Linked DNA regions of Stegostoma tigrinum. Each later gene encodes a partner of the first gene's protein in a complex. Links are inferred from orthologs where the notes say so. Each region holds a gene or a part of one and is shown on either strand. Other genes may lie near its edges.

Region 1 (7,350 bases):
CATATTTAAAACCAATAGTGAGGGAAAGAGGAGGAGATGACCTGCAGGTTTTCTTATGGATGGATAAACAGAAGATTTGGCTTGATCCAATAGTACTAACTTGTGTGATCTTGTGATGTTATGAATAGGCGCAAGATAAGATAACAGTTTAAGTTACTCGCAGACCTTGGGTTTTTAAGTATACTGAGGGGTTCATTGCAGTATAATAACTATGGCGCAGTTTATTTATCTATGGATGGCCACATTGTAGAATTAATTATGGTTTGGTTTAATTAAATGAATGCAAGTCAAGCAGAAGTGATCTCACTAAAATTTTATAATAGGCGTGAGAGATTTGTACAATACATATTCATGCAAATCCAAAAAATCCAAACTCAGCTGGCTCTCTGCAGACAGCACGGTGAACATTATAACCTGGGGGGCAAAGTCATACCGATGGCTGCAGATCTGTCACTGGTAATGCGTAGCAATGAGTATTCCGGCATCTTACAGACACCAAACTAGATGTTCTTGCATGCATCACTATCAACACGTTGGACAGGCCCAAAAATGTTACTAAAGATGTTAGTCACATAGAACTTTACTGTTATACAATGACATACTTCTCAGGAGGCTTGGCTAACATCTGGCAATGACCACCATGGGGACACAGATTAGGCCCACCCAATTGTACCAACATCATTAAATGACCCCATTAGCAACAGATCCTAGGCCACAAACTAGGGAAGTCCTAGGTTAAAATGGAAACTCACCATAATAGTTTCCTTCTTCTGGTCAGAAGGTATAATCGGGGAAGGGAATGAAGAGTCACAATACAGCACAGAACAACATCCTGGTCATCCTGCTTATATCAGTTCAAAGGAGCTAGCCAATAAACAGTACTCCCCAAGTCTTCCCCAGAGCCCTTCAAATTTCTCCTTCTTCAAAGATGTAGCAATTCCTTTCCAAGCAGTAGCGCAGTTTTGTCAAAAGTCTGACTTGAGGAAAAGCCTGACTACCATCCAGTTCCTTGAAATCTATGACTATGTTTTAGGGATACAATGGTAATTCACAAATACACTACCATGCTGAAACATTCTGAAGAAGCAATCTGTTAAGAGTTGCAAGCACTTGCACAGTTCACAAAACTGTCATAGGTAAAGCAGCGATCAAAAACATTCAGTAAGCAAGTTTTTAATGGCAAAATTTATCTAAAATGATAAACTGTAAACATCCCCTCTCACTAAAAACTATTCTGCTCCTCTACACTGAGTAGATGAACCTGTAACCCATCACTCCCATTAAAAAATATTCACATGGACCTCAATCCAAACTCAGCAACATAAGTCTTGTTTCACACTTGCAGAAATAATCAACTGGAAAATGCATCAAAATTTACACACTTTGAACATGAAAAATGGCTAAGGCACTTGCCACAAGGGAACAAACAGCAAATAAAGAAGTTTGATAACCTCTAAAGATACTTTATGTCCTCCACTTCTCCAAACAAGACAGTGTCAGACCACAGATTAAAAACCTTCAGCAGCAACTTGTACCTATAGAGTGCTGTAAACATTGTAAAACATTGCAAGCTGTTGCGCAGGAGTGAAGCAACAAAATCTAATACCAAACCAAGGCAATCTTGGGGCAGGTGATCAAAAGCTTGATCCAAGTAGTTTTTTTTCTCAGAAGTGTTTTAAAGGAGTAAAGCGAAGTTTGTGGTGAGGAAATTGCAGAATGTAGGGCCTGAGAATGAAGGAATATGGAAAGAACTAATAAGGCCAAAATTAGAGTACAGATTACAGAGGATTGAGAGGCTGAAAGCAATTACAAAGATACTAAGGGTTGAGACCATCGAGTAGATCTGCAAACATGGAGCGAGAATTCCAGAAATGTAATTTGGAGCCAGTTTAGGTCAGTAAAGATGACCCAGGAACAGGATCTCATCAGAATCATTGCTTACAGACTTTTGGATGATGAGCCAGCCAGAAGTGCATCGAATACGCTACACAGTATCCCACATCTTTTACAGCAACAGGCTTAGGCTATTCAGCCCCTCACATATACTTCGAGCACTCATACCCACCCCGCCACTTTTTCAGCACTATCCAGGAAACCTCCAATGACCAAGACAAAACAGGGGGGGCCCGCCCCCAACAACGTCTTTGATGCAAACACACTGCAACCTCAAGTCTTCTCGCAAAACAGAACGGATCACAGCATAGAGTCACATTTGTCAGGCGGCCTTCAAATCCATTACATACAAAAAAAAACACATCAAACAAAAAAAACCCCACAGCATCTACATCCAGTTTCAAATTTAAATAAACAGTATCACAACTTTCCCTCGAACAGTGGGAATCGCGTTAAAGCGGACAGCCACCACAGCTACCCCCGCGACACAGACACACACCCCTCTCCAGCTGTGATTTATCTTTTCTAGCCGGGAATCCGTCTCCCCACTCAGCCCCTCACTCAGAGTCAGAGGAGGAGGAGGGCCTGTCCTGGGCGGATAGCCCCAGGTAACGGGGGGGGGAAACAGTCCGAGTGTGACAGCCGCCCACATCCACAGGCAGCTCCAGGTAGGGGTGGGGGTGGGGGTGGGGTGAGGTGATCCGGATCCGCCCCACGCCCCAAGCACCCTGTCCCGGCAGTCTGCGGCGGAGGAGGCCGCCCCGTGCGGACCCGGGATCCGCCGGTGCCCGGGCCCCGAGCTCCGGCCCCGGCCTGTCAGTCAGTGTCGGATCCTCGGCCCTCATCAGGCAGACTCCGCGTTCCCCCACCCGCCGGGCAGGGACACGACCTGGGCTCCCGGAGGTGGGCTGGATGGAGGGGAGGAGAAGGGGGGGGGGGTCGTTGGACGAGGAGGCTGCTGGCTGTCAGGGCGTCCCGACCCCTCGGGGAGTCTGTCTCCCTCCCCCTCCCGGATTTCCTTCCTTCCCCCACCCCCGCCCCGGACTCACTCTCATCCGGCAGCTCCTCCACCTCCGCCATCTTGAATCGGCCGCGCCGCTTTTCAAAGCGAGCCGCGCGGCATTCTGGGCGATGCAGGGCGGCAGAAACAAACCTTCGCGAAGAGGCGCCGGCAGAGCCGCCGGGGCGCGTGTGGCGTCGCGGGATCGCCCCCTGGGTCGGCAAGCTGGGAGCGGGCTGGCGAGGAGAGCGAAGGCGTGGGTTCGAGTCCCAGCGCCCCCCCACCCCCTCCTCCTACTTCATCAACGTCTTGCAGTAGGGCGGTGATTAGTTATATGGGGGGGGGGGGGGGGGGTCTCTATAAAAGTTAGCCTCACCGACTGTATGGAGTACGTGGGTCACCTTGAGCAGGATATTCTGGGGTTGGAGGAATGATCGAAGTGAATCCAGGAGGAGGCACTTGCTTGGTTGCCAGAGGTAATGGGAACTGGAGAATCCAAGATAACAAAGTGTGAAGCTGGATGAACACAGCGGGCCAAACTCACTGCGAAGCCTCTTCCAGGGATGCCTAACCTGAAGAAGTTACCCTCCTCCCTCAGGGCATAACCCTCTCTGATGAAGGGTCTAGGCCCGAAACGTCAGCTTTTTGTGCTCCTGAGATGCTGCTTGGCCTGCTGTGTTCATCCAGCTCCACACTTTGTTAACTGGCTTGGTTATGTTTCAAGTAGAATCCCTACAAGTGTGCAAACAAGCCCTTTGGCTCAACAAGTCCACACTAGCATCCACCTAACCTGAACACCACAGCATGGCAATTTCCCATGGCCAGTTCCACCTAAACCCGCGCACATCTTTGAACTGTGGGAGGAAACCCACACAGACACAGGGAGAACGATGCAAACTCCACACAAACAGGTGGAATTGAACCCAGGCCCTTGGTGCTGTAAGGCTGCAATGTTAATGACTGTGTTGCCCCAAAACCTGCAAAAAAACAAGTACCTGCTGAGCTTTTCCAGCAATTTCTGTTTTGAATACATTGTCACAACCCTAGCTTATTTATTCTCTCTTCACAGCTGAATTCTAACTCAGGGAACATCCTGGTGAATCTCCTGTGCAGCCCCTCTGGTGCAGTCACGTCCTTCCTATAGTTTAGTGACCAGAGCTGCATGCTGTATTTCAGCTGTGGCCTAACTAACACAATATACAGCTTCAATATAACCTCCCTTGCTCTCCTCTTCCAATACCTTGACTAACAGAGGTAAATATCACACATGCCCTCTCAGCCTTATCCACCTGTCCTGAGTTAATGAACAAATGATAGCCAGGAAAACACAGAGTTTAACCTTCCACATTAAATAGATGTTTACCTGCACATCTGTTAATATGGTATGTTGTATCTGCTGTGGCCTCCCCTACGTCAGGGACACCAAGAGAGGCTCAGAGACCGCTTTGTGGAGCACCTACATTCGGTTTGCGACAAACAACACCTCCCAGTCGCGAACCACTTCAACTACCCCTCCCACTCCCTGGACAACACGCCCATCCTGGGCTCCTCCAGTGTCACAATGATGCCATCCAGAAACTGGAGGAACAGTGCCTCATATTCTGCCTTGGAATCCTACATCCCAATAGTCTTAGTGGGCTTTACTAACTTAAAAATCTCTCCAGCCCCGACCTCATCCCAAGACCAGCTCCCCCCTCTCATCCCCGCCTCATTGACCTGTCCGTCTTCTCTCCCACCTATCTGCTCCTCCCGCCTCACTGATAATCCCCACCCCCACTTCCTACCTACACTCCCCTTTACTAGCTTCATCTCCGCTTCCCTGACCTGTCCGTCTTCTCTCCCGCCTATCCACTCCGTTATCAACCTTTTATCACCGGCCCCCTGCCTATTTATTTCATAGCCCCCTTCCCCTCCTCAATTTCTGAAGGGTCCCGAAACGTCAGCTTTTGTGCAGGACTCTCTCCCCCTCCCCCTTTTCTGATGAAGGGTCTAGGCCCGAAACGTCAACTTTTGTGCTCCTAAGATGCTGCTTGGCCTGCTGTGTTCATCCAGCTCCACACTTTGTTATTCCAGACCCAAAATGTCAGCTTTCCTGCTCCTATGATGCTGCCTGGCCTGCTGAGTTCATCCAGCTCAACACCTTTTTGTCCTGACTCTAGCATCTGCAGTTCCTACTATCTCTCACAGAGGACTCCCCTATTCTTCCAAAGAACACTGTAGGATCCTGTAAATTCATTTCAGGCACAGATGCCTCAGTTTAACATGCTTGTCTGAAAGTTGTGCATCATTTGCCCATTAAACAAGGCTGGATTCTGTGCTAAGATAACACAGTGTGGAGCTGGATGAACACAGCAAGCCAGGCAGCATTAGAGGCGCAGGAAAGCTGATGTTTTGGGTCTGGACCATTCTTCAAAAAAAAGAGGATGCTGCCTGGCCTGCTGGGTTCATCCAGTTCTACACCTTGTTATCTCAGACTCCAGCATCAGCAGTTCCTACTATCCCTGGATTCTGTACTGCTGTTTGGATACTGAAGCACAAGATTGCATGTGCAAGAGATCAGTGCTTAGAACCATTGAACAAGGCAGGAATGCACCTTTCACAGTTTGTAGTCACTGAAATATGCCAACATTGTTGAGCATGCCTAAGAAAGATACATCTAAGGAAGAGAATGTGCCAACTGATTTGATTTATTGTTGTCACATGTACCTAACTACAGTGAAAAGCTTTGTTTTGCAAGGAGTACAGGCTGATTATAGCAAACCAGGACATACAGATCGTACGGTGCTTAGACAGAGCGAGGCATACAAGGTTACAGCTGCACAGGAGGTCATAAAGCAAGATCAACATTATTTGATGTTACAGCTCATTCAGCAGTCTATTAATGGCAGGGAAGAAGCTGTTATTGAACCTGTTGGTGAATGTGGTCAAGCTTCTGTGCCTTCTGCCTGATGGAAGAGAACATTAGCAGGGCGGGTGGGGTCTTTGATGATGTTGGCAGCCTTTCCGTGGCAACGAGAAGTATAAATGGAGTCCTTGGATGGGAGAGATAATGGGACTGCAGATGCTGGAGAATCCAAGGTAATAACGTGTGAAGCTGGATGAACACAGCAGGCCAAGCAGCATCTTAGGAGCACAAAAGCTGATGTTTCGGGCTGAGACCCTCCATCAGAGAGGGGGATGGGGTGAGGGTTCTGGAATAAATAGGGAGAGAGGGGGAGGCGGACCGAAGCTGGAGAGAAAAGAAGATAGGTGGAGAGGAGAGTATAGGTGGGGAGGTAAGGAGGGCATAGGTCAGTCCAGGGAAGACGGACAGGTCAAGGAGGTAGGAAATGGAGGTGCAGTTTGGGGTGGGAGGAAGGGATGGGTGAGAGGAAGAACAGGTTAGGGAGGCAGAGACAGGCTGGGCTGGTTTTGGGATGCAGTGGGGGGAGGGGTCAAGCTGGGCTGGTTTTGGGATGCACTGGGGGGAGGGGACGAACTGGGCTGGTTTTGGGATGCGGTGGGGGAAGAGGAGATATTGAAGCTGGTGAAGTCCACATTGATACCATTGGGCTGCAGGGTTCCCAAGCGGAATATGAGTTGCTGCTCCTGCAAACTTCGGGTGGCATCATTGTGGCACTGCAGGAGGCCCATGATGGACATGTCATCTAAAGAATGGGAGGGGGAGTTGAAATGGTTCGCGACTGGGAGGTGCAGTTGTTTATTGCAAACCGAGCGGAGGTGTTCTGCAAAGCGGTCCCCAAGCCTCCGCTTGGTTTCCCCAATGTAGAGGAAGCCACACCGGGTACAGTGGATGCAGTATACCACATTGGCAGATGTGCAGGTGAACCTCTGCTTAATGTGGAAAGTCATCTTGGGGCCTGGGATGGGGGTGAGGGAGGAGGTGTGGGGACAAGTGTAGCATTTCCTGCGGTTGCAGGGGAAGGTGCCGGGTGTGGTGGGGTTGGAGGGCAGTGTGGAGCGAACAAGGGAGTCACGGAGAGAGTGGTCTCTCCGGAAAGTAAACAGGGGTGGGGATGGAAAAATGTCTTGGGTGGTGGGGTCGGATTGTAAATGGCGAAAGTGTCGGAGCATGATGCGTTGTATCCAGAGGTTGGTAGGGTGGTGTGTGAGAACGAGGGGGATCCTCTTAGGGCGGTTGTGGCGGGGGCGGGGCGTGAGGGATGTGTTGCGGGAAATGCGGGAGACGCGGTCAAGGGCGTTCTCGACCACTGTGGGGGGAAAGTTGCGGTTATCATCACTCCCAAGGATTTGAGCCTTTCAACCCGATTCATTGATGGATAGGGGTGTGTCCTCCTCCTTTCTTCTTGAAGTCAGTGATAATTCTTTTGTTTTTCCAACACTGAGAAAGAGCTTGTTATCATTGCACCAAGCCCCCTATCTCCTTTCTGTTTTCTGACTCATCATTGTTAGTTATCCATCCTCCCATGGCAGTATCATCAGCAAACTTGTAAATG
Region 2 (7,360 bases), on another chromosome or scaffold:
GGATAACACAGACAGGCTGTCACTAACAACAGCTTTGTTTTAGAATGATTGTAACACCAGAGACACAGGCAGGAAGAGGGAGGTGGGGGTGGGAACTGGGGCTATATATTGACAGATTCTCCAAACTGTGGACCAAACCTTCAAAGTCTCCACCCACCCCAGCCTCCAGGAATGACTGACAGGGGAATTCCCCAATCAGCTAGACTAGCTGCGAGCAATGTTCTCCCTCGATGTAGCCTTGCCGTTTTGTCCCTCACCGAGAGTGGAGAATCCTTTCGCATACTGCAGTGACCTGTTCCTAAAACCTGGGTGACATGCACTCTAATGGGACGGTATGAGATGGCTTATTGAACTGTGGGAGGAATCACGGCACAACGAGACGCTGACAGAGTCAGTAGTGGAAAGCCTCGGGATCCGAGTATCACAGTGCCACACTGGCAGGTGCTGCAGCCGGCAGGCTGACAGCAGCAACCGAAGGTCTGACCAACCACTGAACAGCTGAAACCACAAACCCATGACCAAAACCCAGGCCCAAGGAGAGGACACATGGTGACGGATAGCACTGGACTGGCTCAGTCACAGTTTCTTTAACTAAGTGGCCAAAGGTCAAGATCAATCATGAATCCAGCAGCAGCCTAAATCAAGAAGGACTTAAATAGGTTCACATCTTCTCCAAGATAGCAGCAATGGGAACTTTCTGATGCCAATGGGGTACTTCTCCCACCGTTTTCCTGAGCTCCACCCGAGATCTCAATCTGAAGCCGCACCCACCCTCTGCAATGTTAACACAAGGGAACAACTGTTATCTGTTAGCCCAGACTGATGGCAAGCTATTCGACAGTGTGAGCAGCATTTTAGAATTGCATGTCTTAATTAGATCTCTTCCATGTATCCCTTTCCCTCACAGGACACCCAGAGCGGTGACTGAAGCAAATACTTTAGGGCTGTCCTAACTGAGATGCAGTGGCTCAGCGCAGGATTAAACCCCTGACCTTTGGTTAACTGTGTGTGGCACTCAACAATGCACCTAGCTACTGAACCAGAGTGACCATGTGTGCTGTTGAACAGATTCCAGCATTGTCTCGGACTTTGCCAAACAGTGCTGCAAAACAAAGCTTTACCTGTGCGACTGCAGGAACAGTTATTACCCAGCGAATTTCAACAGTGACTCAGTGTGAATGGTCCCCGTAGCCACAGCAATGAATTCAGCAATAGGACACCTGCACACTTGATAGGGCTCCTCGGTCCTCTAGTACAATGTCATATAAAAGACAATATTCACCCTTACTGCCAATAATGAGAGAGAGGGGGAGACACCCGCACACACACAGTGGCAGAGAGGGACAGAGGGCTGTTGGGGGAGGGAGAACAGAGGTTGGGGGGGAAACAAATAAGTTCAGAGGTTGGGGGGGGTTAAAGGAAGGAGGGCTCAGGCAGAGGGGGGTGGCTGAGTGTGAACCGGGAGGGTGGCGGTGTTGAGGGACAGCAGGGGGTGGGGAACTGGGAGGTGGTGGTGGTGACATTGAGGGAGAGGTGGGGGGGCGTCAGAAGGAAATGTCAGGGGGTTGTCAAAGGGAAATGTGGGGGGGGTGGTCAGTGGAGAATGTGGTCAGTGAGAGGGGTGGTCAGTGGAGGAGGTGGGCGGCTTGGTCAGTGGGAAACATGGGGGGGGGGAGGTCAGAGGGGAATGTGAGGGGAGTGTGGTCAGTTGGGGAGGTGATCAGTGGGGACTGTGGCAGGGGAGTGGTCAGGGGGAATGTGGGGGGTGTAGTCAGTGGGGGAGGGAGAATGGTGAGTGGGAAATATGGCAGGGGACTGTGGCAAGGGAGTGGTCAGTTGGGGGGGTGGTCAGGGTGAATGTGGCAGGGGGTGGTCAGTGGGGAATGTGGGAGGCGGAATGGTCAGTGGGGGGGTGATCAGTGGGGAATGGTCAGTGGTGGGGCGGTCGGTAGGGAATGTGGCAGCGGGGTGATCAGTGGGGAATGTGGAATCGGAGTGGTCAGTGGGGGGTGGTCGGTAGGGAATGTGGCAGGGGAGTGGTCAGTGGGGAAGTTGGCAGCGGAGTGGTCAGTGGGGAAGGTGGCAGGGGAGTGGTCAGTGGAGGGTGGTCAGTGGGGAAGGTGGCAGGGGAGTGGTCAGTGGGGAAGGTGGCAGGGGAGTGGTCAGTGGGGGTGTGGTCAGTGGGGAAGGTGGCAGGGGAGTGGTCAGTGGGGAGCAGTCAGTGGGGAAGGTGGCAGAGGAGGGGTCAGTGGGGGGGTGGTCAGTGGGGAAGGTGGCGGGGAGGGGTCAGTGGGGAATGTGGCAGGGGAGTGGTCAGTGGGGAATGTGGCGGGGAGGGGTCAGTGGGGGGGTGGTCAGTGGGGAAGGTGGCAGGGGAGGGGTCAGTGGGGAATGTGGCGGGGAGGGGTCAGTGGGGGGGTGGTCAGTGGGGAATGTAGGGGGGTGGGGTAGCTGAGTAGGACGATACCAATGTGAATGATGGTGGGGGGTGGAAGCGGACGCGCTGCACCGGGAGGTTGAGCACGTGCTCTCCCGCAAACCCCCCTCCCCCCCGACCCCCAACCAAGGCCGCGCGGTGTCTCCGGTTTCGGAGGGGGGGGGGGGTTGTTCGGTGTCCAGCTGCCCCTCCCCTTTTAACACCCCCCCCCCGAAAAAAAATCGCTCCTCATTCCTCTCCCAGAGCCGGCGGAGTGTGTGTGTGTGTGTGTGTGCCGGCCTTTCGGTGCTCCTTACCCCCCCGGGGGGGGGGGGTGAATCCAACCCCACCCCCAGGGGCCGTGTACCCGCCCCCCCCCCCCGGATTAAACCCCCGCTCCCCTCACCACTTTCAGGTCGAGCACCCCGTCCTTGGCCTCCTGCAGCAGGGACACGAACTTGGTGGTGAGGAGTCCCAGGCTCTTCTCATGCCTGCTCGGAGTCTGCGGTAAGGCCTCGGCCATCTTCACCAACACACTCACTTTATTTCCTCACTCACTCACTCCCTCCCTCCCTCTATCCTTCTCTCTGTCTCTCTCGGTCGGTAGCCGTTAGCAGCGCGCAGCACGCCGGGACTGATTTGAACTGGGAGCAAACAGCAACACCCCCCCCCCCCGCCCCAACAAACAACCTCAAACCGGGCCCCGGCCAGGGACCGTCCTCAAACCTCCACCCTCTCCGCAAAGCGCAGACAGCCCCGGCCAGGGACCGTCCTCAAACCTCCACCCTCTCCGCAAAGCGCAGACAGCCCCGGCCAGGGACCGTCCTCAAACCTCCACCCTCTCCGCAAAGCGCAGACAGCCCCGGCCAGGGACCGTCCTCAAACCTCCACCCTCTCCGCAAAGCGCAGACAGCCCCGGCCAGGGACCGTCCTCAAACCTCCACCCTCTCCGCAAAGCGCAGACAGTCTCTTTCCCCCTCCCCCCCCCCCCCAATTCCAGGTCCCATCCAGGGAGCATCCTCAAACTGCCACCCTCTCTGCAAGCTGTCAACTGTCCCAGATCCCAGCAAGGGAGCGTCCTCAAACCCCACCCGTCCCCGCAAAGAGCAAACTGGCCCCCCCACCAGGGAGTGCCCCTAAACTGCCTCCCTCTGCGCAAAGCTCGAACAGCATGCCCCAGCCAGGGAGCATCCTCAAACAGTTGCCATCAAATGCAGTGGGCAAACAGCACCGACCACACCAAGGGACTGTTCTCAAATTGCCTCTCTCCCGGCAAAGTGCAAACAGGAGTACCAGTGAAGGAGTATCATCAAAACACCACACTTCCAGCAAAGCACAAACTGTGGCTCTCAGGCAGCATCTGCAAACTGCCACTTTGCCCACATGTCACAAAACCACCCAAGGAACATCTGCAAATCACTGAAATATCAAGAAATGCAAAACTTCCTGCTGCCTACCTCGGGGACCGTGTATTAAAAACATGCTCCCCAGAAACCACAAACCTGCCTGCCTTAGGAAGTGCCTTTAAACCCACACTCCTTCTGCAACCCTCCCATACCCTCCATAAAGTTTGGAACATTGGGGTGGGGTTAGGAAGCCATCTTCAACATCCAAGTTTGAAGGCTGTGAAATATTGATATGAAATAGGAATTGAGACCTGAGGTTTATCAGTCCTGATCTCATTGAAAGGCAGGGTAAGCTTGTGGTGCCAAATGTCTTCCTCCTGCTCCTTTTCCTTGTTTTTGAACAACAATGTTCCGAATGAAAGAAGATTTCGGCTCAGCTGCCCAAACCCCTCCACCAATCTCCCTCCAAGGTCTTCTGCCAACCACCTTCATTCCACATTTGTCATGTTTTGGGGAGGTGGTGGCTTCATTCTATCGTCACTGGTAATCCAAAGACCTGTGTTAAAGCATTGTGAAGCGTGGGTTCAAGTCTCATGTCAGATGGTGAATTTTTAGTTCTGTGACTAAATCAAAAACTAGTCTAATAGTAATTATGAAACCACTAGCAATTGTCATCAAAAACCATCAGGTCCTAAAATGGCCTTAAAAAATGAAAATCTGCCACTAGTATGACCTGAATGCCATTCGAACTTTGCTTGTAGCCATAGTAGCCTCTCAATTGTATCAAACTGCTACAAAGCCTAAAAGAAAGGAATAAAAACAAAAGCATTGACCAAGCGTCGGAAACAATAATAATACCCACAGCCCTGTTGTCCCGAAAAAGTCCTCCTTATTAACAGATCTAGCAACTTAAAACTGCAAATGAAGTGCTATCAATCATCATCAGCTGAACTGTATTTAACCAGAATCTGTTATCTAATGGCCCAGTGTGTCCCCCACTGTACTATTGCCAAACAACTCCATAATCAAACCTGGTTCAATGAGGAGTACAGGTGGACATGTCTAGAACCAGTACCAGGCATACCTCAAAATGATATGTTAACCTGGTCAAACTACAACACAGGACAACTTGCAGGCTAAACAGCAATAGAGAGAGCTAAGGATCCCACAACCCAATGAATCATAGCTAAATGTTGCAGTCCTACCCTATGCAGTCATGAGCAACATGGACAATTAAACAACTGAAAAGAGAAGGATCCACAAATTGTCTGTGATGGAGGTGCCTTCCACGTTAAATCAAAAGACAAGATAGAATTACTGTCAACCATGTTTAGCCAGAAGACCTGAGTGGATGATCCATCTCAGCCTCCTCCTGAAATCCTGAATATTACAGATTCCAGGCTTTAGTCAGTGCACTCCATGCGGTATCAAGGTACAGTTGGAGATGTTGGACACTGTGAAGATCATGGACCTTGACAATATTCCAGCAATGTTACCACAGACTTGCTCTGCTATGTTCCTAAACATGCTGCCCTTGTACAGTTACAACATTGGCATCGTCCCAATAATGTGGAAAATTGCCTGTGCCTGTCCTGTGCACAAAAGCACAGGACAATCCTACCTGGCCAATTACCACCTCAGCAAACTGTTGGAAGCTTCTGTCTGTCATGTTATTAAGTGACACTTAAGTCAACGATAACCTGCCACTACCAACATCCTTGTGGTTACCATTGATGAGAAGCTGAACTGGACTAGCTGTAGAAATGGAAAAAGAACTGCAGATGCTGGAGTCGGAGCGAATACAGTGTGGAGCTGGAGGAACACAGCAGGTCAGGCAGCATCAGAGGAACAGGAAAGATCCTGATGAAGGGTGTAAACCCAAAATGCCGACTTTCCTGCTCATCTGATGCTGCCTGACTTGCTGCGTTCCTTCAGCTCCACATGTATTGACTAACAGTAGAATTGCTATGTCAACAAGAAGTGGTCAGAGACTAGGAATTCTGTGGCCGCTAACTCAGATCTCAGATACTGTCTCCCTCTACAAGGCACAAGTCAGGAGTGTGATGGAATACTCTGTGCTTGATTGGATGCGAACAGCTCCAATAAAACTGAAGAAGCTTAACACCATCCAGGATAAAGTGGCCCGCTTGATTGGCACTCCATCTAACACCTCCAATATTCACTCCTTCCATCATCAATGCACAATGGCAGCAAGTGCACAAGATGCACTGGAAATATTCTCTAAGGCTCCGTTAATAGCTCCTTCCTGACCTTCCACCTCAGAGGTCAAGGCGAGCAGAAACATCAGGCCCCAAAATGACTTTCTCTCTCAAATGTGGATGTTCACTGTTTGATGCACAATGATCAATTCCATTCACAACTCCATGGACATGAAGCAGTCTGTGCCTGCGTGCATCAAAGTATGCTGAACAATTAGAAACCAGACAACCGTCCAATTGGTGAGAGCTTTACTTTCAGTTTAAAAGAGTAGATGGAGCATTACTCACTATGTGCTGTGCCTGTCCAAGAAGCATTTGATGAAGACAGTGTTAAGAGACATTAACTTTCTGTTTTAAAAAAGTAGAGTAAGCTTTACTCTATATTGAACTCTATGCTGTACTTGCTTTGGAATGTTTGATGAGGACAGTGTAGACAAAGCTTTACTCTGCTGCTAGTCCCTATGCTGTCCCTATCCTGGGAGAGTTTAATGGAGACAGTGTAGAAAGACCTTTATTTTCAGCTTTCTTTCCATTTAAAAGATTTGAAGGAACTTTACTCACTGTCAAACTCTGCGTTGAACTTGACCTGGGAGTTTTTGATGAGGACAACGTGGAGAGAACTATACTTCCAGTTTAAAAGAGTAGAGGAGCTTTACAGTGTTGGCAAAGATCTGTAGCTCGGGTTGTGGGTGGGGTTATTGACTTGCTCACCGAGCTGGCTTGTTCTCATTCAGACGTTTCGTCATCATGCTTGGTGACATCATCAGTGAGGCCTCTGGGGAAGTGATGTTGTTCTACTCCACTTGGAATTTATACTGTCCGGTCCATTGTGGTGAGTACTGTCATTTCCAGGTTTGATCTGTATGGGCTTGTATATGGGGTCCAACTCTATATGTTTGTTGATTGAAGTATGGGTGGAGAACCGTGCCTCTAGGAATTCCCATGCATGTCTATGTTTGGCTTGGGCTACTACGGTTACATTGTCCCAATTAAACTGATGGCCTTCACTGTCTGAGGGTACTGATATGAAGGAAAGTTCATCATGTCATTTTGCTGCCAGCTGACCTTAACCTATTCTGATGGCTTTGCAACGCTGCACAGTACCTGTCCTGGAAGTGTTTGATGGGGAAAAAGAACAACTGTGCAAGGTAGTAGCCATCTCCAACACCAACGAGTCCAACCACTCCATCATAATTTTCAACAGTATCATGATCACTGGATTATCTTCTATTGCCATTCTGGAGAGGTGGGGGAGTTTGGTCGATGTTTATTGACCAGAAACTAAGCTGGACCAGCCTTATAAACATAGAGGCCACAACAGCAATTGAGGCAAGAAATACCCTCCTGACTCTCCAAACCCATCTTGGAACTACGATGTT
Region 3 (7,117 bases), on another chromosome or scaffold:
ATAGGCTGTGTAATGAGGTAAGATGGAACAGGCTTGCACTGGTTGCCATGTAGCCTGTGGACGCAGTCATCTACCCAATTTAATAAATCAGAGAAACTGCATCCATTCATCAAATCAGTTGAAAATGTGCATTGCAAGTCAAAGTCAGCTATCAATTCCCTCCTGCCTAGGAAAGTCTAAGAGACAATGTGCTGGACTCAAAGCCCTGATTTCTTCACCGGAAAAGTGGTGAGCCTGTGGATTTAATAACCCCAGGAAGTAGTTGATGCCAAAACACTGAACGTATTCAAAATGTGCCTAGATATAGCACTTGAGGCAAAATAGATCAAAGGTTGTGGGGAGAAAGTAGGGTTAGGCTTTTGAGTTGGACAATCAGCATAACATGAACAATGGCAGAGCAGGAGCAAAGGGCTGAAGGGCTGCCTCCTGCTATCTTCAATGTTTCTGTTCCCTTCAGAGGAGACAAGGACCCTTTGACATAGACTCATATGGGGACAACCATTGTGGTCTTTAAAAGAGGAATGGAGAAAGGACATGAGGAGAAAACAACATTTAAGAACTGAATATACCAGAGTTCAAGGTTGTGGATTGTTGCTTTTCACAATCCAGAAATCACCATTAGAGATTTTGAGAAGATGGAGGCGGTGTGAATTTTAATGGACTGTTAATAGATTAGTACTAATCTATGTCTGAAAGTGATGTGATGTCATATGGTGATCGTACAAGTTTGTGGAAGACGTAAAACAGAACAGTAAGATGTGTTCCAGTAAAGCTCCTGTTTCATAATGAGTCTGCAGGGGTATTTAAATCTAAAAATAATTCAGGCTGATATTTAATGCAAAATCATTACATAAGTAACTGTACTTAATACCTTGCTTTCTGTAAATTGCATTGGGGCCTCTTAGGGTCAGTGAAAAAACTGATATAAATGCCAGTCAGAGACAGTAAAAACTGCTGATGCTGGAGTCAGATAATACAGTGTGGAGCTGGAGGAACACAACAGGCCAGGCAGCATACAGGAGCAGGAAAATTCACGTTTGGGACAGGACCCTTAAGAAATGGAAGAGGAGGGGTGAGCAGGGGAAGGTAGGTGGAATGGTGATAGGTGAGCACAGGTAAGCAGTGGTGGGGATTGGTCAGTGAGGTGGGAAGAGCGGATATGTGGGACAGGAGATGGACAGATTGTGTCAGATCAAGGAGGCGGGGATAAGAGAGAGGCTTAGTCATGGGATAAGGCCGGGGTGGGGAAATTTTGAAACCAGTAAAGTCCACGGTGAGACCATTGGGTTGTAGGCTCCCAAGATGGAATATGAGGTGCTGCTCCTTCAGTTTCCAGGCGGTGTCATTGTGATACTGGAGGAGGCCCAGGATGGACATGTCGCCCAGGGAGGGGGAGCTGAAATGGTTCATCACGAGAAGGTGTTGTCGTCTGTCGCGAACAGAATGCAGGTTCTCTATAAAGCGGTCTCCGAGCCTCCACTTGGTCTCACCGATGTAGAAGACGCCACATCAGAAGCAGCAGATACAATAATCCACATTGACAGATATGCAGGTGAACCTCTGTCTGATGTGAAAGGTTTGTCTGGTGCCTTGGATGGAGGTGAGGGGGTAGGTGTGGGGGCAGGTGTAGCACTTCCTGCAGTTGCAGGGAAAGGTGCTAGGGGTGGTGGGGCTAGTGGGGAATGTGGAGCAGAAGAGGGAGTCACTGAGACAGCTTGAACAGTTCCTCAACTTTACTAACCCCTTTCTCCCCAACTTCAAGTTCACCTGGACTATCTCTGATACCTCTCTCTCCATCCTGGATATTGATATCTCTATGTCTGGTAACCGCCTCAAAACCAACATTTATTTCAAGCCCAGTGACTCCCACAGCTACCTAGACTATAGCTCCTTTTACCCACCTTTTTGCAAGAATGGGATCCCCTACTCCCAATTCCTCTACCTCTGGTGCATCTGCTCCCAAGATGGGGGGGGTTCCACTACCAAACATCCCAGATGTCCTCTTATTTCAAGGACCGCAACATCCTGTCCCACCCAACTTTGGTGGTCAAAAATGCACTTGACCCACATCTCTTGCATTTCCCGCACCTCTGCCCTCACATCCCTTTCTGCAACAAAAACAAAGATATATGAGAACAAGTGGGATTCTATCACTCCACTAACCATATTCAACGTATCATTCTCTGTCATTTCTGCTACCTGCAATCCGACCCCACAACCAAAGATATATTTCTCTCCCCACCACTATCTGCCTTGCATAGGGACCGGTCTCTCCATGACTCCCTCGTCTGCTCCACACTCCCCACTAGGGCGGCACGGTGGCTCAGTGGTTAGCACTGCAGCCTCACAGCGCCAGGGACCCGGGTTCGATTCCACCCTCAGGCGACTGTCTGTGTGGAGTTTGCACATTCTCCCTGTGTCTGTGTGGGTTTTCTCCAGGTGCTCCAGCTTCCTCCCACAGTCCAAAGATGTGCAGGCTAGGTGGATCAGCCATGCTAAATTGCCCATAGTGTTCAGGGGTGTGTGGGTTATAGAGGGATGGGTCTGGGTGGGATGCTGCAAGGGGCAGTGTGGACTTGTTGGGCCGAAGGGACTGTTTCCACCCTGTAGGAATCTAAACACTAGCCCCATGTCCTCTGATGCTGCCTGGCCTGCTGTGTTCCTCCTACTCTACACTGCGTTACCTATAAATGCAAGTTTTTTTAATAAGTTAAACCCTTGTCTACTTATTCCAGGAACATAAGCAGAAGAAACAGAAAGGTACAACATAAAGATAGCAATAACACAAACACCACTCCTCAGATTTTTTTCTCGCTCTGACACCATTTCGAAGTCTCAAACGTTGTAACCTCTCAGTGAGAACTTTGAGAGCAAGGGCCTTTTTAAAGTGTGGGGAGGTGATGGCCCAGCCAAATTATCCCTGGACTAATCCAGAGATACAGGTGATGCTCTGGGAACCCATGGTCAAATCCTCCCATGGCAAGCGGTGGCACTGAATTTAATAAGAAGTCTGGAATTAAGAGTCTAATGATGTTGCTGGTTAGGGGGAGAAAATACATTCATTCCAAGATGGGACCATATTCTATAATTTGCGGTTTGTAACTCGAGTAAAGGTTTATTACAAACATACACGTTGTGAGATATGCTGAAACTACGACGATAAAACTAAGAACTGCAGATGATAGAAATCTGAAACAAAAGCAGAAATCGCTAGAGAAACTTCATCTGACGAATGGGTCATTGGACTTGAAACATTAACGCTGTTTCTCTCGCAACAGACCGGCTGAGTACGATGTTTACATCTATTCCTTTCGATATTTTTTGATCTTTACCGTTCAGAAATGTTATAACCCACTTTGGGCTCAGGTGGCACTTGAACCCGGGCCTGCTGTCTCAGAAGTAGGGACACTAGGTGTGACAGTGGCTCAGGGGTAAGCCCTGCTGCCAGAGACCTGGGTTCGATACCAACGTCGGGTGTGACGGTGTGGAATTTGCACATTTTCCCCGTGCCTGCGTGGGTTTCCTACCACAGTCCAAAGACGTGCAGGTTAGGCAAATTGGCCGTGCTAAATTGCCCTCAGTGTCTACGGGAAAGACAGGTGTGGGTCTGGGTTGGATCTCGAGACAGTCGGTGCGGACTCGACAGGCCGAGTCGCCTGCTTTCACACTGCAGGGATTCTATGATACTACTACACCGACCTGGCTATTCTTGTTACGTATGTTTTAACAAAAAAAAGGACTTAATTGAAATAAACTGTCACATTATGGTTAGGTTTTTTTGCAACAGGCACTCATCAATGACAGACTTGCCCATCGCCTGCCAACAGCAGCGGCGGTGTTTGGGACCCACACAAGATGGCGCACTCGATGTTGGTTCTCAAGGCGCACGGCTTCCATATAGACTACAATTCCCAGAGTGCCTGTCAAGTGCGCATGCAGTCGAAGTTCGCCGTCAAGGCGCACGGGCTTCGATGTGGACTACAATTTCCAGTGTGCCTGTCACGTGCCCGCGCTGCCGCTCGCGCCGCCCCCCTCGCACGGAGGGCCCTATGAACGGTCAGGACGCGTGCGCACATTCAAATATTGTCGGGGAGTGTTTGAGAGGGAAGGCAGGGCGCGAGATTTGGCGGGATATAGAAACGGAGCAGTGAGAGTGGCTGAGAGGCAGCAGTGGAGAGCTGAGCTCCCCTATAGCCACGTACATACATACACATATATATATATATATATAGAGAGAAACACACAAATACACTCTTTCTCTCTTCGGGCTGCTTGGGGATATGGTGACCCCACCGCTGGTACTCAGGCAGCCAACAGCGACCTTCAGCCCATGTATTAATGATCGGAGACTAACCATCCCGGAGTCCCCGAGCGGAGTGAGTGATTGAGGAGTCCTGGGAAAGGCAGAAAAGGGAGACAATCGTCCCTGTCAGTGATGGCCAAGCGAGCCCGGAGGTGAGTGCTCTGCGGGTGGCTTTTCGCTCATCAGGACTACTAGCGTGGAACATTGAGCTGTCTTTTTTTTTATTTTTGAAGTTGTACTGGCTGTCAGCTGCCTGCAGCGAGTTACACGGGACCTGTGATGTTTGCATCTATTCTTATACAAATGTATTATCAAAACAAAACTAAATGAAGCGCCCATGGATCATTGTCATGTTATGATTAGTTTTGCAAAAGGCAGTTTGCGTATGTTTACGTCCATCTAGGTAAATTTATTAGGGAGCTGCTAAAGTTCAAAGTTGAATATGCACAGTGCATCAGGTATAACGTGACAAATTTCAACCTGTTGAGTTGTCATTCCTGTGTTTTTGGAGGTATAACACGCCACATCATAGCTGGGCGTGCAACATCGCTGTAAAACTGATCACAGAACCTGGCCAAGAGTACAATTGGCAGTAGTTGGCCAATAGCAATTGCTAGGATTCGGTTCAAATCACCGCCGTCTTTAGTTGTCAAATTGATTGTAGGCCTAGATTAACCATGAATAAATCAATGTAGTAACATTACCCAGGTTCTGTTTTTTTCTGTTGGGTTGGAATACGAGGAGAGAGGAATACAGAGTTTTTCTGTCCCTGAATCTCACGAGGATTCCACTGTTTATCTTGAAAGCGTTAAATAGGATTTTCAGGATAGTTTTAATGAGTACCAGCTAAATGGATTGAAGTTTTCTTGCCTATTCTTCCATGTAATAAATGACAGAAATCAAGTCCATTTCATGTAAGCTGGAAATAAGTTAGTTTATCCTGATACGTTCTTGGTACTCGGTATTCTGGTGAATAATTTTATTTGAAATGACGAGTTTATCAAGCAGATTTGTAGAATGGCTTCCTGCCACACTGGAACCATTCAGCCTATTGCCTGAGCTGTCTGTCTACAAGAGCAGTTTACCTAATCTCATTCCCCTTGATCTTTTTCTGCAAGCTAACTTTTCTTTTAAAAAAAGACTTTGGCTACTTATCTAATTCTCTTTTGAAAGCCATGATTGAATTTGCCACCACCCCACACTTAGGCAGTGTATGCTGGATCTTAGTCACTCAGTTGTTGTTTGGAAAAATTGTTTTTCCTTGCACTGTTTGTTTTATCATGCACCTTAACTTGGTGTCCTCTGACTCTTACGTAGCACTGTAACTTCTTCCTGTCCATGCTGTCTAGATCCCTGATGATTTTGAACACCTCTGTCAAATACTTCTCTTAAACTTCTCTAAGGACAGTAGCCTTTTCTCTTAACTGAAGCCCCTCATCCCTAGAACTAATCTTACCAATGTTTTCTGTTGTCACTCTGAAGCTTTCACACCCTTCTTGGAGACAAAATTACAGTTGAGGATAAACGACGAGGTTTATCATCACTACATTGAATTTTTACTCTACTTCTATTTATAAATGAAGGATGTGTTAATTGCTTTCTCAATCAGTCCCAGCCACTCTGCACAATGCATGCACACACACACACACACACACCCTAGGTCTCTTTCCTCTTGCACTCCTTTAGAGTTGTGCCTTTGTTTGTTTTCCTTGCCTTTTCTTGAATTTTCTAACAGAATGTAAGTTTCAGTTTGTATTAAATTTAATCTACCCACTCCCATCAACCTGCTTTGACCTCCTTGAAGTGATTGCTCTGTTCCTCAGTTCGCACAACTTCCGAGTTTTTTTTCTGATCTAAATTTTTGAAATTGTGCCATCCACACAAATCTATCATTAACATAGATTAAGGAAAATTAAGTTCATAGCACTGGCTTCTGGGGAACCCTGTATCAACCATTCGCCACAACTGTTTCCAGTCTTTCAACCAGCTTTGTATCCACTACCTATGGATTCAACTTTATTAGCAAACCTGTTATGTGACATTTTATCAAATATCTTTTAGAAGCCTGTGTACACGACTTTTAAACATGTTACCCTCAAACGTTCTGTTACTTTTAACTAATTTAATTCAAGTTGTTTTCTTAAATAACATGAAATTCAAACACAAGATAAAAGTACTCAGCCAGACGGTAATTCGGTTTTTCTTCACACATGCTGCCTAATGATGATCTTTCAGGCCTTTGCAGTTTTTAATGCATTTGTATTAATTAAATATGATTCACCCTTGGTAAATCCACACTTTGCTTTAGTTAATACTTTTATAAATTTTTAGCCTTTAAGTCTCTCAACTTCCTCTTTCATTGTGGCTTGCACAACATCTTCCTTGGTGAAGATAGACGCTAAGTCATTAAATAACTCAACAATGTTTTCTGTCTCCATGAGTATGTCTGAGTTCTGCCACTCCTCTTGCTACCTTCTTAGGTTAACTGCAAATCTCTTATACTCCTTCTGCCATTTTCTCACACTTGGCTGAAATTTTTGTATTTAGTTTAGACCTCATTTGTATTTTGAACTGATGTTGATCATACAGAATCATTCACTGCTTCATTTTACTTTCTCCTATCATTTGACCAAAATTTTCCTTCGTAACACTTTGCCTTGACTTGTGTTCAACCTTTTCTGCATCAGAGACCACTTCAGGCTCATTTATTGCTTTGTCTACCAATATCATTGGCATTCTATTTTACCTGGGCCAGTTCTCAATTCTTCAGCAGTCTACTCCCAAAAGAGTCCACCAGATCCTCCCACGTTCTTT
Region 4 (7,987 bases), on another chromosome or scaffold:
GTATTTACACTTTGAGTCTTGGTGACACACGGGTGTTCTATCTACCAAATGCTAACTGTGAAGTGGCAATGGATTTGTTTATCCAACACCCCTACGTTTTGATTTCTGACAGTGATTTCTGTTTTCATTTCTCCTCTTCTGGACCACTAAAGTAGTTTTCCATCCCACATGGTGGAAGAGGCGTTGCTTCACCAGTGAATGCTAAGGGGGTCCTGCAGATCGTACGGGCGAGTAACAGCATCATGATGTAGTTTGTTTACGATCAGATATTCCATTTAGTACTTTTCTTTCCCCCCCACCCCAGTAAAGCATTTCCAGTAGCCTGGCTTTAGGTACAAACTGTTCGGTGATGATTCAAGCACTGTGTTTTATTAACTTTTGTTTCCACTGTTGTTTCCATTGTGTCGGAAACAGAATAAAATTTAACTATCAATAAAAAATGGAAGTTGGTAAATTTTATATTTTAGATGTCTTAATTTCTGAATAATAGTTTAGCGTATTCTGTCTGTGTTGTACAGCAGGTCTCAAGACCACACCGTTCCAGTTGTCAGCAATGGGTGCTTAGTTGCCTAATAGGCAAAAGACTATCTCCAGACTCTCAGACTGGAACTTCAGTTTTCATGATGGCTACCAGCTATAGTTAAGAAAAAGCTTTGTCTGATATCAGCCAAAGTTAACACATTGAGAATGTTAAGTGTAAAATCTTTTTTCTGGTGTGGTTTGGGGAAGGGATGACCTTAATATTACTCATCTTGCCATATAGTGTGTGTTTGATGGTCCTAGTTGGTTTGCACTCTTGAACAAGGCTCTGGCCTGCGTTATTACTGCCCTGTCAGTTACATAACAAGAGCTCACTAACAGGAAGGGGAATTGAACAATAATATTACTATGACAGTTGCTCTATAGCTTAACTCGAGATGCTTGCATTACAGTTCTGTCAGTGAATGATTTTCACATCTACCAAGCAATATTTTTTCCCTAATTAGTCGAGGACACAAGTTGGAGCTGGCTTCCAAAATCAGGAGCAGCATAGACTTTAGATTTGAACAGTTCATAATGCAAGGCTTCTGTGGCAAAAAAAAGGCCTCTTTCTACTGTGCTTTCCCCTGTCTACACTAATGGCAGCCCGGCACGGATTCCCTCTGCTCTCAATCATTTCATCCTGGTTCCTATTCTTAAAACAAAGCCTTAGAGGAAGTGACGTTGTTTTCAAATTTAGTCAATGTTGCAATGCTGCGTATTGGATACCTCATTTATTTTGTATCAATATCCCCAACCTACTGATATAATTGCTCTTGTATCTAAATACTGTACCTGACTTGTCGAAAGCCTCAATAAAAAGTTAACAACCCGGCATAGAGCGGTGTTGATGTCTGAGGTCATGCAAGAGTTTCCGTCTCATTTGCTTAATGGAAGAATCTGCTATTGGGGTGGGTTTTTCTTTTTTAAAAAAGAAAATTTGCTTGAGACGTGTTTAGTTTCTTTCAGTTTTGCTTTTAAAAGGAACTAGCATTAATTTGTGGTCCAGTTCTTCCCTTGGACATGCAGCTTCAGCTGTATCTGACAGAACAATTGGAATTCAGCCTTCTGACCTCCTTCAGACTTTGATCAGTAATGGAAAGTAATGTAAGGATTTTAGGAAACAGATTATCCAATAAAGAGGATCTATTGTTTAGCATAAATAATTATTATTTTCACCTCCATCAGAGGAAGTGTCTGTTATTGCTGTATTGTACAGTCTGGAAGATAAGAATTCACAAACTTGTGTGACATACCAGAAGAGAGAATCCTCATTTAGTTTCCCTTTAGTGCTTTGTGTTGGGAGTATTTGTGCAAATCTACCTGAGCAAGACACTTGGTTGAAAATGTTCAGAATAAAATCTACCTTGCATTGTAAAATGTTGCGTAGTCCCCAACATCTTGATTGATGACTCACTTTAATAAGCAAGACAGACCTTTATCAATGTGATTACATCTTTGCCCCAAAATGGTTGTCAGTTTTATCAAATGCCTTTGCAGAATTTACGTAATGTTGGGGTGTGACTTCATTTAAATTGGGATAGGAGGAGACCATTTAATCTCTTGAGACCTTACACTGCCACACAATTATATCATTGCCATAAACTATCTCAACATTACACACCTTTGTTCCTTATCTCCTGATCCCTTTAACTAACAAAAATCTATTGTTCTCAGTCAACATTGAATTGTGATTGGGAACAATCAACACAACATTTATAGCCTGGAGAAAATGGTCCAGAGTTCTGCTACTCTATGTAGTAAAAGTCCTTCTTAATTTCATCCTTAACTGATTTAGCATTCGTTGTAACATTGATGTTTTATTCGGGATTCCAGTCAAGGGAAATTTCTTTTTCGGGGCTATTAAACACATTAATTTTTTTCTACTCAGTACTTTGCACTCCATTGACTTAATATTGATTGTAAATGCTGGACTTTAGCTATAACTAAGCTTCTCTGTGACAGTGATGACAGTGGAGTTTGGATAATGATTTCAAAGAGGGACAGCAGAGCATGGAATGGGGAATCAAAAGGAAATCCGAGTGCATCCTTGGCGTCGGTTTACCTTTTTGATTTACAGACTACTGGTCAATGGGGGCCTTTTCTGGATGGATGGACTTTATGCCGTGCTATCTATTTTCCCCCACTGCTGTACGTTGACAATGTTGGAATTCAGCATTCTGATCTCTCTCTCTCTTTTCCATTGCTGAAAAGCAATAATTTGGAGAAACAAACAATGCTGGAGACACACAGCAAGTCTGGCAGCATCTTAGGAGAACTTCTCTTTTCAATGTGCTTTGGACAACCACATCAGACTATGAGTAAATTAGCACCCAGTGGTGTGTTCACAAGATCCACCAAATCAAGAGGCAAGGAAGGCAGTCCAACAGCAGCACCCTCCCCCAACAATGTGGCCAGCAATTATTCCTGGCAGAATCATAGAACAAAAGAACTGTCAACGCTGGAGATTGAAAACAAAAACAAACTGCTGGAGAAGCTCAGCAGGTCTGGCTCCATCTATGGAAGCAAATAGACACAATGTTTGATATCCAGTGACCCTTCCACAAACCAGTTGCTGTGGGCAGGATCTCATTTGTTGATCTGATAGACTCCCAAAGCAGCTGCTCTGGTCTGAACTTAGTTTTTACAGGGGTCTGCCGGGAGGGCAGTGGAAGTGGTTTTGTTGAGGTGCTTGAAGCATTCCTGTCAATTCGTGCAATCCCTGGATCGGTTTTGACTGAAGTGGGGAAGAATCATTTCAAAATGCACAAATGCATTAAGGGATTTGCTTGAGAACATGTAGAATTGGTGACAGCACACAAACTCCCAAACAACCATCTAAGCAACTCTTCAAATAGCACCTGCTCTCCCTGTGTTAGAATCTGCTGATCCTTCCAGAACCCATTGAACAGGAGTAGGAGCAAATCATTCCCAGTAGTATTGCATATAATTCAGCTGTTCTTTCTTGAGAAATCCATTCTGCAATTTGACCATTTCTGAGAGGGTGGGCAAGATGGCAAAAGGTCAAGTTGAAATTGGTTCAAATGCTGAGGCTGGGGAAAGAAAGTGAAACAGGTAAAAATGGGGGGGGGGGGAGAAAGTGAAACGGGTAAAATGGGGAGGGAGAGAAAGTGAAACGGGTAAAAAGGGGGGGGGAGAGAAAGTGAAACGGGTAAAAATGGGGGGGAGAAAGTGAAACGGGTAAAAAGGGCGGGGGGAGAAAGTGAAACGGGTAAAAATGGGGGGGGAGAAAGTGAAACGGGTAAAAAGGGCGGGGGAGAGAAAGTGAAACGGGTAAAAAGGGGGGGGAGAGAAAGTGAAACGGGTAAAAATGGGGGGGAGAAAGTGAAACGGGTAAAAAGGGGGGGGAAAGAAAGTGAAACGGGTAAAAAGGGGGGGGAGAGAAAGTGAAACGGGTAAAAATGGGGGGGAGAAAGTGAAACGGGTAAAAAGGGCGGGGGGAGAAAGTGAAACGGGTAAAAATGGGGGGGAGAAAGTGAAACGGGTAAAAAGGGCGGGGGGAGAAAGTGAAACGGGTAAAAAGGGGGGGGGAGAGAAAGTGAAACGGGTAAAAATGGGGGGGAGAAAGTGAAACGGGTAAAAAGGGGGGGGAGAGAAAGTGAAACGGGTAAAAATGGGGGGGAGAAAGTGAAACGGGTAAAAAGGGCGGGGGGAGAAAGTGAAACGGGTAAAAATGGGGGGGGAGAAAGTGAAACGGGTAAAAAGGGCGGGGGAGAGAAAGTGAAACGGGTAAAAATGGGGGGGAGAAAGTGAAACGGGTAAAAATGGGGGGGGAGAGAAAGTGAAACGGGTAAAAATGGGGGGGAGAAAGTGAAACGGGTAAAAAGGGCGGGGGGAGAAAGTGAAACGGGTAAAAATGGGGGGGGAGAGAAAGTGAAACGGGTAAAAAGGGGGGGGAGAAAGTGAAACGGGTAAAAATGGGGGGGGAGAGAAAGTGAAACGGGTAAAAAGGGGGGGGAGAAAGTGAAACGGGTAAAAATGGGGGGGAGAAAGTGAAACGGGTAAAAAGGGCGGGGGGAGAAAGTGAAACGGGTAAAAATGGGGGGGGAGAAAGTGAAACGGGTAAAAAGGGCGGGGGGAGAGAAAGTGAAACGGGTAAAAAGGGCGGGGGAGAGAAAGTGAAACGGGTAAAAAGGGCGGGGGGAGAGAAAGTGAAACGGGTAAAAAGGGGGGGAGTTAGTGAAGGTGATGCCGGAGGCGGGGGGGGCGCGGTGAGTGAGCGAAGGTGATGCCGGTGGGGTGGGGGTAGGGGGGTGGAGGTCTCAGGTACTTTCTGGCTGGGCGGCGGAGTATGGGTGACGTTAGGTTCCGAGTGCTCCGCGGTGATCCGGCTGTGCGAGCTACTCTTTCCGGGCTATTTATAGAATGGGCGTGGTGACCTGGTCGAGCATGCGCGGGTTTTTGGCGCCACTGCCGCGGTGTACTGTGGGATTAGTGTCCGAGTGGAGCCGGGGCAGTCGCGGTGGGAGAGAGTGACTGAGTCGGAGGGACGGAGTCAGAGCGAACCGGCAGGGATACGGGAAGCGACAGACAGGTACTGAGCCGGGAGGGAGAGCCAGCACCATGCCCAGCGGAGAGAGCCGGGACGGCGGCAGGCGGTCACTGCGTGACAGCTTCGACAAACTGTGTCAGGACCTGAACATGGATCTGGAGAGCGGGGCCGAGGCTTGGGAGAACCTGCAGCGGATCCGCCTCAACTACACTCTGGAGGTGAGGGTGGCTGGGAGTAGGGGTCGTCGCAGAGCCTCCCCAACCCCGGTCTATCTCAACTACAGCGTTGGAGTTGAGACCATAAGATATAGGAGCAGAATTAGTCTATTCAGCCTATCAAGTGGAGATTTACTGGGATGCTGCCTGGATTTGGTGGGGTGTGGTGGGGCAGCTCTTATGAGGAAAGGTTGGGGGAGCCTGGGCTTTTTTCATTGCAGTGAAGGATGAGAGGTGGCTTGATAGAGGTGTACAAGATGATCAGAGTGCATAGTCAGACTTTTTCCCAGGGCGGAAATGACTGTTACGAGGGGGACATAATTTTAAGGTGATTGGAGGGGGGCATAGGGGAGATGTCAGAGGTAGGTTCTTTATACAGAGAGTGGTGAGTGTGTGGAATGCGCTGCCAGCAATGGTAATAGAGTCAGATATTTTAGAGCCTTTTGGACAGGCATGTGGAGGGTAGTAAACTGTAGTGGAAGCAGGATAGATTGATCTTAGGATAATAGATCAGCACAACATTGTGAGTCAAAGCCTGTATTGTACTGTTCTATGTTCTATATGTTAGTCTGTGCCCCCATTTGATCACAGTTGATGTGTTGCTCAAACCCATCATCCTGCCTTCTCCCTGTAACCCCTGATCCCCTCACGAATCAATTGCTGTCTTAAATACAGTCAACCATTTGGCTTCCTCAGCCTGCTGCGGCAGTGAGTACTTTGGCAGGAAGCATACAGGCATTGACTGCTTTCTAAATGGGGAAAGGCTTTGGAATTGAGGGAATGTATCTCATTGAGACTTAAAGAATACTGAGACGCCTGAATAGATTGGACATGAAGATGATGCTCCTACCTGTAGGAGAGACTTGGTCCCAAGAGCACAAACTCAGAGTGAAGGGACCATCCTTTAGAATGGAAGAGGACTTCCTTCAGCCAGAGGATAGTTAATTTGTGGAACTCATAGCTGTTCTTGATTGGCAATAGGAACAAGGATGGGGGAGAGAGGGCAGGAGATCGAGGAACATATCTGCCATGATCAAGTGGCAGAGCAGATTTGATGTGCTGAAGAGCTTAATGCTGCTCCTATCTAGAGTGGTCTAAAGTGTGAACCTCATTTGTGTGGAATTTAAGTTTTTAAACTGAGAATTTAAATTTCTCTTGATTATTAATGCAGTACCACTACCACATTCAATAAATAGAACAGTTGAAAACACAGTTTGTGGTTAACTAGTATATTGCTGATCATTTCTGTGATATATGATGTCTTTTTGATGAGTGCGGAAGTGATGTGTGTAGTGGTTGGTTTTAAAACACACCAGCTGCATTTCTGTGTTGTGGAATTTGCTTTATGTTTGTACTTGTCTCTAACTTGGTCACTCTGCAAGTTTCACTTGTTTCCTTCCAATAATTAAGATTATTGCTAAGGAAAAATAGTTGCAATATAAACATCTGTAACAGAAGAAATAGATTGAGTCATTAAATGCATTTTTCAATTTAGAGTTAAACTCACTTTCAATTTATAATTTCACTGATATTTTGTGCTGTAAATTGGATTGATTCTATTTGTGCCTGCCCATTTGCTACAAAATCAAAGCTAAAGAACATTTCACTCAATAGTCATGCCTGCATGAATGTCCTAATTATCAATTCTATGTTGATATTGCACCTGGGGAACTATTGTATGTTAACCCAGGTGAAGTTGCAGTGAAACAGTGGAATAGTTCATGGAGTTTGAGGATTATTTCAGTGATTTCAAATTCATTTTGTGGAGATCAGGACTTTGGTGTGAGCATATGTTATGTACTATGTACACTTCTGGTCTCCAAATCTAAGCTCACGTATATCTATTTAGTGCAACAAAGATTTACTCGATTGGATCCTGGAATATGAGGATTCCCTTGTGTGGGGCCATGAAAAATGAGGAGAAATCTCATTAATGATAAGTGTGGAGCTGGGTGAACACATCTCCTAAGTGCTCCTAAGATGCTGCTTGGCCTGAGGTGTTCATCCAGCTCCACACTTATCTTGGATTCTCCAGCATCTGCAGTTCCTATTATCTCTGAGAAATCTCATTAAAGCTTTTTAAAATCACTGCATGTGTTATGAAGCGGAAATTGATGCCCCCCCCCTGCCAAAAATCTGTTAAAAGAAGTATGAAAAGTGTTATAACCAGCTGGTCATCCCCAATCTGTTGTAAAGGAGTGGTTAAATAAAATGGAATCTTTTCACTTACTCAATCAACAAAATGTAACAATTTACTTATCTAACTTTAACAGTGAACAAATTAGCAAAACTACTAACAAACAAACAATTCCCCCTTAACTATTAACTACTCCTGAATAAAACAAAACTCTTCAGTAAGGTGATGTCACCTCACCTCAGCCAACGAAGGAGCAGCACTCCAAAAGCTTGTGATTTCAAATAAATCTGAACTATACCCTGGTGTCATGTGACTTCTGACTGAATATGTTCAAGGGTGAGAGATCTTTTGACGTTTCAGAACCTAGCAATATGGAGAGCAAGTGGGAATGTGGAGTTGAACTGAAAGGTTAGTCACGCCCATACTGAGTGATACACCAGTCTGGACAGACTAGTCTGATTGTGTTCCTATTTTTAATGGACTCGTTTCTTAATGCTTGTTTCAGGGAGAAACTCTGCACTGGCTTGCATGTGCCTTGTATGTAGCCTGTCGCAAAAGTATCACGCCAACTGTTGGCAAGGGGACAATGGAAGGAAACGGTGT

What was found.
Region 2: lin9 (region 1) and e2f4 share a complex: the UniProt entries of both Homo sapiens proteins name them as parts of the DREAM complex. The link is inferred for Stegostoma tigrinum from reciprocal best matches to the Homo sapiens genes LIN9 and E2F4.
Region 3: lin9 (region 1) and mybl1 share a complex: the UniProt entries of both Homo sapiens proteins name them as parts of the DREAM complex. The link is inferred for Stegostoma tigrinum from reciprocal best matches to the Homo sapiens genes LIN9 and MYBL1.
Region 4: lin9 (region 1) and rbl1 share a complex: the UniProt entries of both Homo sapiens proteins name them as parts of the DREAM complex. The link is inferred for Stegostoma tigrinum from reciprocal best matches to the Homo sapiens genes LIN9 and RBL1.

Annotation. Positions count from the first base shown.
Region 1 is NC_081357.1:10,405,973-10,413,322, reverse strand, and holds the start of lin9 (protein lin-9 homolog), read right to left. Parts: upstream 3,010-7,350; 5' UTR 2,974-3,009; coding exon 2,943-2,973; intron 1-2,942. UniProt on the Homo sapiens protein: Acts as a tumor suppressor. Inhibits DNA synthesis. Its ability to inhibit oncogenic transformation is mediated through its association with RB1. Plays a role in the expression of genes required for the G1/S transition.
Region 2 is NC_081369.1:8,294,370-8,301,729, reverse strand, and holds the start of e2f4 (transcription factor E2F4), read right to left. Parts: upstream 3,019-7,360; 5' UTR 2,940-3,018; coding exon 2,823-2,939; intron 1-2,822. UniProt on the Homo sapiens protein: Transcription activator that binds DNA cooperatively with DP proteins through the E2 recognition site, 5'-TTTC[CG]CGC-3' found in the promoter region of a number of genes whose products are involved in cell cycle regulation or in DNA replication.
Region 3 is NC_081358.1:31,539,394-31,546,510, forward strand, and holds the start of mybl1 (myb-related protein A), read left to right. Parts: upstream 1-4,101; 5' UTR 4,102-4,435; coding exon 4,436-4,455; intron 4,456-7,117. UniProt on the Homo sapiens protein: Transcription factor that specifically recognizes the sequence 5'-YAAC[GT]G-3'.
Region 4 is NC_081372.1:1,760,574-1,768,560, reverse strand, and holds the start of rbl1 (retinoblastoma-like protein 1), read left to right. Parts: upstream 1-4,982; 5' UTR 4,983-5,103; coding exon 5,104-5,250; intron 5,251-7,889; coding exon 7,890-7,987. UniProt on the Homo sapiens protein: Key regulator of entry into cell division. Directly involved in heterochromatin formation by maintaining overall chromatin structure and, in particular, that of constitutive heterochromatin by stabilizing histone methylation.